2 linked regions of the Arabidopsis thaliana genome follow. The protein of the gene in region 1 interacts with the protein of each later gene in a pairwise test. Each region holds a gene or a part of one and is shown in the gene's direction. Other genes may lie near its edges.

Evidence for each region.
Region 2: the proteins of AT3G57710 (region 1) and AT4G14815 interact in a protein complementation assay, tested with the Arabidopsis thaliana proteins (one large-scale study listed by BioGRID).

Annotation. Positions count from the first base shown.
Region 1 is NC_003074.8:21,384,127-21,389,664, reverse strand, and holds AT3G57710 (Protein kinase superfamily protein), read left to right. Parts: upstream 1-2,265; 5' UTR 2,266-2,376; coding exon 2,377-3,432; 3' UTR 3,433-3,725; coding exon of another isoform or gene 3,726-4,748; 3' UTR 4,749-4,989; downstream 4,990-5,538. Other genes in the region: AT3G57720 (Protein kinase superfamily protein), read right to left, coding at 820-1,899; AT3G57700 (Protein kinase superfamily protein), read right to left, coding at 3,726-4,748; AGP23 (arabinogalactan protein 23), read right to left, coding at 5,211-5,396.
Region 2 is NC_003075.7:8,503,330-8,506,575, forward strand, and holds AT4G14815 (Bifunctional inhibitor/lipid-transfer protein/seed storage 2S albumin superfamily protein), read left to right. Parts: upstream 1-1,713; 5' UTR 1,714-1,792; coding exon 1,793-2,105; intron 2,106-2,189; coding exon 2,190-2,216; intron 2,217-2,300; coding exon 2,301-2,431; 3' UTR 2,432-2,623; downstream 2,624-3,246. Other genes in the region: AT4G14810 (uncharacterized protein), read left to right, coding at 816-911, 1,016-1,180.

The DNA of each region.
Region 1 (5,538 bases):
TTTCATTTTTGACTTCACAGTCCAAGAACAGAGAAGAGGTATTTAGCTAACACCTTTCAGTGATGTTTCAATCCGCTTGAGTTCCTTAGCTACTTGGATCATCTTCGGTCTGTCTTCGTCTCTTTCCTCACAGCATCTCAACGCAAGTACAACGCATGCTTCCACCTGTGATCTTTGACCATTTGTATTGTCTTTGAACATCATTCGATCAATTACTTTATCGAGCTTCCCATTCTCGTATAAGCCTTTCACATAGCCAGTAATACCTCTGTATTCCCCATCAAATCCAGCAGAGACAAGAGCTGGTCTAGCAGTGAGAACAACCATCTAAAAGACTCCAAAGCTGTACACGTCTGTATATTCCGTCACAAACTTCGTGGATGGATCCAGGTACCCTACTGTTCCCATTACTCTTTCAGTTTCAATTCTTGTTTTTCCCTCAGGAAGAGAGATTGGAAAACGATAAATTGGTCAGCATTGCGGTCCAGTTCTTATCCAAGAAAATCCTCACTGGCTTAACATCTCTGTGTATGATGATCTTCGGAAACGCCATCTGAAGATAAGTCAATGCATTTGCAAACTCCACGGCAGTAAAGTTTCCTCCCCATTAACCTTAATAGCTCCTCGATGGTTCATAACTCCAAGTTCTGCATCTTGAAACACAAGAATCATAAAAGGAAACTCGAGACAACATCCTAATAGCTTGAGAAAGTTGCTGCGATTGCTCATGCGGTCACACAAGACAATGTCATTGTAAATCTCTTTCACTCCATAGTCTGGAACTTGGCTTTATAGTACAATACCAGAGAGGATCTGTAGCTATGATCTCCGAAATAATGTCTCAATCTGCTTGAGTTCTTTAGCTATTTGGATCATCTTTGGTCTGTTTTCATCTCTCAGCTCGCAGCATCTCAGCGCCAACACCACACACGCTTCCACATGCACTTTTTGAGCACTTGTAATGTCTTCCATCACCTTAGGATCTATTACTCCATCAAGCTGCCCATTCTCATGAAAGCCTTTCACGTAGCTAGCAATATGTTTGTAGTCCCCATCAGAGCTAGTGGATGCAAGTGCTGGTTTACCAGTGAGAATAACCATCAAGAAGACTCCAAAGCTGTACACGTCGGTATATTCCGTCACCATTTTCGTGGTATAATATACTGGATCAAGGTACCCGATTGTTCCCTGAACACATTCAACTTCTATTCTTGATTTTCCCTCAGGGAGGTTTATAGAGATAGAGAAATCAGACAACTTTGGGGTCCAATTCTCGTCCAAGAAAACATTCCTTGGCTTAATGTGTCTATGTATGAGGATCTTGGGGAATGCCATGTGAAGATAAGTCACAGCATTTGCAATCTCCTTTCCAATCTTCAACCTTAAACTCAAAGGCAATATAACTTCCTCCCCATTGACTATAACACCTCCTCTGTGATTCAAAACTCCATGTTCTGCATATTCAAACACAAGAACCGGAAGACTAAACTCAAGACAGAATCCTATAAGTTTAAGAAAGTTGTTGTGGTTGCTCATCCGAGCAGACAAGACAATTTCGTTGTAAACCTCTGCTACTCTGTATTGAGTAACTTTATACTCAGAGAATCTCTTGATCATGTAAGATCTATCTTCTATGATACCTTTGTACCATACATAAAACCCCTCTGCGGTTACAAAACAACTGGAACCGAAGTTACTTGTAGCTTTCAAGATCTGGTCAGAAGAAAAGTTACGTATAGGAATGGATTTACCGTTACAATCAGCAATAAGTTCTTTCAAGAAGATGCTTCCGTTGTCTAAGAACCACTTTTCTTCCTGAATGTCTTTTTCCTTTTCCTTCCTTTTCTCTAACGATCCAGATCTCAGACTCTGCTTCAACTTCTTCACCATCGATTTCATCAAACAAATACTGTTGTTTCAGTTTTCCTCTTTGAACAAGAAAGACTTAATATCTGAATGCATACAAGATGTTGAGTTACTACTCTTCCCGATTTGAAATTTGGAAACAAATTCCAACCATTGACGTGTTTTGATAGGGACTCCTCACATCCCATACAAACTGTTATCCATCAGCCTGTCGTAGAAAACTTTTTGGTTAGGCTTATTTTGTGTTCCCACCTTATTATCTTTTGGATGGGCTTATATTGTTTTCCCACCTTATGAGCTTTTAGTTGGGCTTTATTTTTCTATAGGCCCAGAAACTTGACCCAAGACTTTTTATTGCTTCTTCCTTTCTTATGACACACCGTTTTCAACCGAGAGTCGTTTGGGATCAGAAAAGAAATGGCTTTTGACACTTCAGAAGCTTTTAGGTAAGAAAGGTGTCCTCTTTATTCATCTCGCCAACAAAAGGTTGATACTTTGGTAAAGGAACTAATGAAGAAGCAGTATCTGAAATCTGGATCTGGGACAAGGAAGGAAAAGGACAAGGCGAAGAGGTGGTTCTTGGATAACGGAAGCATCTTCTTAAGAGAACTTGTAGCTGATTGTAACGGTAAATCCATTCCTATTCGCAGTTTTTCTCCTGAGCAGATATTGAAAGCCACCAACAATTTCGATTCTAGCTGTTTTGTCTCGCAAGATGTATACTATAAATGGTATAGAGGTGAAATTGAAGATAGATCTTACATGATCAAGAGATTCTCAGAGGATGAGATTACAGGAAAACGACATAGAGTTAAAGAGGTTTACAACGACATTGTCTTGTCTGCTCGGATGAGTAATCACAGTAACTTTCTTCAACTTTTAGGATGTTGTCTCGAGTTTCCTTTTCCGGTTCTTGTGTTTGAATTTGCAGAACATGGAGCTATGAATCAGCGAGGAGGTGTTATAGTTAATGGTGAAGAATCTTTATTGCCGTGGAGTGTACGGTTGAAGATTGGGAAAGAGATTGCTAATGCGGTGACTTATCTTCACACGGCATTCCCTAAGATCATCATACATAGAGATGTTAAACCGATGCATGTTTTCTTGGACAAGAATTGGACCGCAAAGTTGTCTGATTTATCCTTCTCAATATCTCTACCTGAGGGAAAATCGAGAATAGAAGCTGAATGGGTTCTAGGAACATTTGGGTACATCGATCCATTATATCATAAGACGTGTTTTGTGACTGAATATACAGATGTCTACAGCTTTGGAATCTGTTTGCTGGTTATTATTACTGGTAAACCGGCTATCATGACTATTTCTGATGGAGATCTCCAAGGTATTCTTAGCTTAGTGAGAGAGTTATGTGAGAATGGGAAGCTTGATGAAGTGATAGATCCGAGGTTGATGAAAGATATCACAAGTGGTCAAAGGTTGCAAGTGGAAGCATGTGTGGTGCTGGCTTTGAGATGCTGTAAGGAGAGAGATGAAGACAGACCAAAGATGATCCAAGTAGCTAAAGAACTCAAGCAGATTGAAGCATCATTGAAAAATTCTAGCTAGAGATCCGCAAGGAACTTTTTGGATATTGAGATATCTTCGCGGAGTAGGCATCACAAGAACATGACTGAAGATAGGAGCATCTTTGGTGCCCAAAAGAAGAGGTATCAGTTGCTTGGACTATATAAATCTAAGTAAACAATTCTTGCATTGTGTAGCAAGGAAACTCAGATTCTTACATACAACATATTTAATAAAAGCTCGATCAAAAACAAGATACAGTGATTGCAATTTTCACTACTAAGCCTGTATAATAGATAGACCTGTTTCAAGTCGCATTAGAAAAGGTTGCATGGTCATATATGTTTCTCTATCTTCTTAAGCTCTTTTGCAACGTCTATCATGCGAGGCACGTTCTCTCCTGGTCTGAATCTTACACATCTAAAAGCAAGCTCAATGAACGCTTCCATTTGCAGTCTTGAATGCTTGGGAATGTCATCACTCGTGCTGTCCAATATCGACGGGTCTATGAGTTCAGTCAACAAACCTCGCTCCAGAAACTTCCCAACATAGACAGGCAATACAGGAAGATAAACAGCGACTTCTGAATTGTATTCAGACTTTCCTGTCAAAATAATTAGCATGATGATCCCAAGACTATAGATGTCGACATTCTCGGTGACCAAACCTGTATTAAAGTAATCAGGCTCGATATAGCTTGATGTCCTGCAAACCATGTCATTTACGCCAGTTTCACCCTCTGGAAGCACTATACTGAGGCTGAAAGAAGAGAGCTTAGCGGACCAATTCTCGTCAAGGAAAATATTTGCAAGCTTTAAATCCCTATGGATTATAGTCCTGGGGAATTCAGTATGAAGATACGCTACAGCATCTGCAATCTCCTTGGCGATTCTCAACCTTACATTCCAAGGGAATGACCGGACGCCTTCTTTTCCACATCTTATACAGTTTAGAGCTCCATGTTCTGGATATTCACACACGAGAACCGGACGAGGAAACTCTAGACAACACCCCAAGAGCTTGAGAACATTCTTATGGCTACTCATCAAAGATGAAACAGCAATGTCACGGTAAAAGTTGTCAGCGTCGAAAACAGAACAGTCTTGGAATTTCTTGATCAGTACGGGTCTGTTTTCAATCATGCCTTTGTACCACACGAATCTGTCTTCAGAGATTACGTAGTTCCAGTCAAAGTGATTTGTAGCTTGTAGGATTTGGTCGGAAGAAAACGTACGGATGGGATTGTATATACCTCCTGAAGTTGCAATGAGTTCTTCCAACAGTAAGCTCCCATTCTTCTGGAGATTGATCTCCTCTTCTTTCTTCTGCTTCTTCTTCTTTCTGAACAGACGCAACATCTCTAAACTCAGAAAAGAATATTGTCTTGTGAGTTGTGAAGAAAGGGACACAAGAAAGAAAGAGAGTCGGAGACGCAAGAACAAATCAAGTCAACGAGGTCACTTCAAAAGTCAACAACTTCTCCTTTTTTTTGGTCTAAGTCAACAACTTATGAAACATAATGTGAATCATAAGATTTTTCACTTGATGACATTTTGTAATGACTAATTTACAAATATGTTGAATATTTTTTTATAATCATTATTATAAGCTATAATATTTGTCCAATAACCAGTTTTGAAAATCAAGGGACCATCCACATTTCAAAAACCAGTAGTCAAAAATTAAAATGAACATAATCAAGAAGAGAAAATTTATTCTTGAATTACTTTCTCTGTTTTATTAATAAACAAGTGAAATGGAAATAAATAGGAAATGAATAAGATCACATAATGAGTTGTTATTACATAATGAAAGATAGCTTAGTGCAAGTAGTAGCTGAAGAGGGAGACAAGGGAAGCTCCAACCAAAGAGCCAAGAGCTGGCAACGCAGCCGAGGCGGCGGATGCAGGTCCTGGTGCCGGAGCTCCGACTTCCTCAGCAGCCATGACGGCGGTCATGGAGGCAGCAGCGAAAAGCACACCGCAAGCAATCTTCTTCATCTCCATTGTTTGAGACCTGAAAGGCTTTTCTTTTCTTCTTTTTATTTAGTTTTTGTGCTTTTTAAAGTTCTTGCAGGTCTGAGGAATATGGATGGTGTTGATCGGGAATTTATATGTGTGGAACTAGTGTTATTTTTAGTAATATTTA
Region 2 (3,246 bases), on another chromosome or scaffold:
TTGATAACGAAGTTACTAATTTGCCCCTATATTGATATTTTCGGGTGATGCTGAGTTGGTAGTGACTGGCCACTAAGGTCCGTCCACGTGGGTGAAGATTAGTTTCGTTTGGGCTTTTAGATTGAATATCAAAGCCCACAGTTTATGTTTTTGACATTTTATAGTTTAGTTGACTTTGAAATTTTATACTTCTGTTTTTTAAAGAGGATAAATAAAAATCTAATGGTTACGGCGGTTGAGGCGAACAAAACCTTCAACAGATCATACCGCTTTTTATTTACCATTCATCAATTATAGTCCGCAGTAGTTCGGACCAAAAAAAAAGAAAAACCGCAGCAAACCGTTTTTATATACAAATAAATTTGGTACGCACCGATTTATTGTCCGCCCAAAAATAAAATGGATTAAACTGCAGAAAAATTAGACCTTTTTGTCCGCCGCATCCATTCAAAGTTTAAGTGGGAAAGTTAATTACTTATTTAGTTGATATTCGTTTGGACGAGGGCTCCCGAACACATCGTAAGCTAAATCGGTGCTGACGAATAACCAGCCCACAACAAATAGGAAATGTATGGAATAGTAATACTATGAATGACCCAATATAGAATACTGGTAATAATATCATCAAAAGAACGTTCTCATGTGCTTCCAAACATACTGAACTCAATATAAATTTAGAGAATCAATATAAATTTAGAGAACATAACAAACATAGACAATTAAAAAAAAGAAAAAACGAACAAACATAGACTTGTGAAACCGTTATAATTATCCATGGAACTGTTGATGCTTGTGAAACTGTAAAATCCACCAAAATGCCAGATATTCACGAAGAAACCTGCTCAACAGCTGCTAGAAAAAGGATAGTGATTGTGATTTATCCGTCCATAACGATCCATGGAGCTGTTGATGTTTGTGAAACGATAAAATCACAATTTCCTCGTAGCTGTTATGCAGATATCTTCGTGAAATATCTGATATCTTGAAGAATTTTTCTTGAAGGCTCTTTGCTTAGTTTGAATATTCGTTGACCGTGGACTCGGTGGTTCGAGTTAAGTTTCGTCAGAAGATGTTTTTTCTTGTCGTGGTTTTGTTTTTCGGTGGTCGTGAAGATCGTGAAGTGTTGGCTAATAATGGTTTACGTATGGTGGAGCATATCGGAATCTCAGTTTCTGAATAAGAACGCAAACTTTACCATATTTATATTGCAAAAGTTGGTCATGCTCTTTATCAAATAGAGAAGTTAGATCATGCAGATTAAGCCACATCCTGACATCCTTCTTTTTGTTTTTTTTTTTTATGCGACATATATCAGTTTCTATTTATTTACGAACTCCCAAAAAGACTCCAACACAAATTAAACCAATAAACTCAAACAACCATATTAAAATGAACAATTCACAAGTAAGTGTTTGGTGTTGCTTATAATTTTAATGGTTTCTACAAATTTATCTACGTATCTTATTTTTTTTCTTGTTTTTTTCATTGAAAAGGTCAGCAATCAAATTTCAATCAGGTGAAACTCAAAAACTTTATATAATCACAAAAAATAATTCAACAAACATATCCTTAAACCAAACGTAATCATATTCTTTCACAAACTTCACCATAAGGTGTTGCAAAAGTTGGTCATGCAAATTGAGCCACATCCTTATTTTCGTCTTTTTCTGCGGCCTCAACTTCTTATTTATTTACGTAACCACAAAAGAAAAGACTCCAACACAAACCATTAAGCGATCAAACAACTAAATTAAAAAAAAATCTTGAGAGATTCTTGGAACACAAGAAAAACATGAAACCTAGAATGTGTTTAATCTTGTTTATTGCTTTAATGAGAGTAATGTCGATTGTTTCTGCTCAGTCGAGTTGCACAAATGTTCTAATCAGCATGGCGCCGTGTCTCAGCTTCATCACTCAAAACACTTCTCTCCCGTCTCAACAATGTTGTAACCAGTTGGCTCATGTTGTCCGGTATTCTTCTGAGTGTTTGTGTCAGGTTCTCGATGGTGGAGGTTCTCAGCTTGGGATCAATGTTAATGAGACACAAGCTCTTGCTTTGCCTAAAGCTTGTCATGTTGAAACTCCTCCTGCTAGTCGCTGCCATAGTAAAATAAACTCACTTTCCATGCATTAGATTCATATTTTTGCTATCTTTTTTCTCTCACACATCAGAACTTTATTATTTTCAGGTGGTTCTTCGGTTAATTCACATTCAGGTAAAGGACTAACTTATAAATAGAACCTAATCTAATCATATCTATTTTGACATTATCCTTTTTTGACATTATCTCTATGAACAGAACATGGAAATGGATCAAAAACAGTCCCAAGAGAAAAGTCATCATCTGATGGTTCTATTAAGTTCTCATTCCCTCTTCTCGCCATCCTATTCACAGCTTCTTACATTACATTAATCTACGCAAAATACTGACTTATTTTACCAATAAAGCTTTTGGCCTCTTTGAAGAACATATTCATTTTTAGTCTCTATTAAATCGCGGTGTATTGTGCTGAAGTATTTTGTGCTCTAAATCCCTACTTTCTAGGTGATATTGGTTTGTAGTCCAAAGAGTGTGATTGTATATCTTTGATTTATGCAATAAACATTATTTTCTAGCTAGGACATATTTGAAATACATGATATATATATGTATTGTTATCACTAACATATGTCTAAACATCACTTAAAATTTAGAGGGAGTACTATTGTTATCACTAACACATGTATTGTAGAAGGAGTACGATTGCTATCACAAACACATGTATTGTTGCCATTTTAGTCACAGTTTCTAAATATGAGCTTTGTCTGTTACCCTAAATGTTATTGCTCAATGTTCACCATAAACTTTTGCGCAGAGTGTCGCGTCTCTATCCACTTTTTCTTTTGCCGGTAATTTTACGAAGGGAATTATCGCCTTTCTCAAAAATTTCTCTATTTTTAAGTTGCATACTTGTAAATCGTTTTGGTATTTCTCTTTTAATATTCCAGAACATATGTTGTGAAAGCTATAGACAAACATTTATATGCTGGCTGAAATCTGGAAGACAGTTTCTAGCAAGAGTCAAACAAATGTCTAGAGAAGTCAAAGCAACAATGATAATGGAAATTAACTAACACCTACTTTTCTTAATCAAACTAGTGATTCACTAATTTAAATGTGAGATTGACAGAAAAATTCTGCAAACTTTATTAAATTTAGTGATTCTTATAGACTTGTTTAGAAGACAAGTCATCAGTTTTTTTAT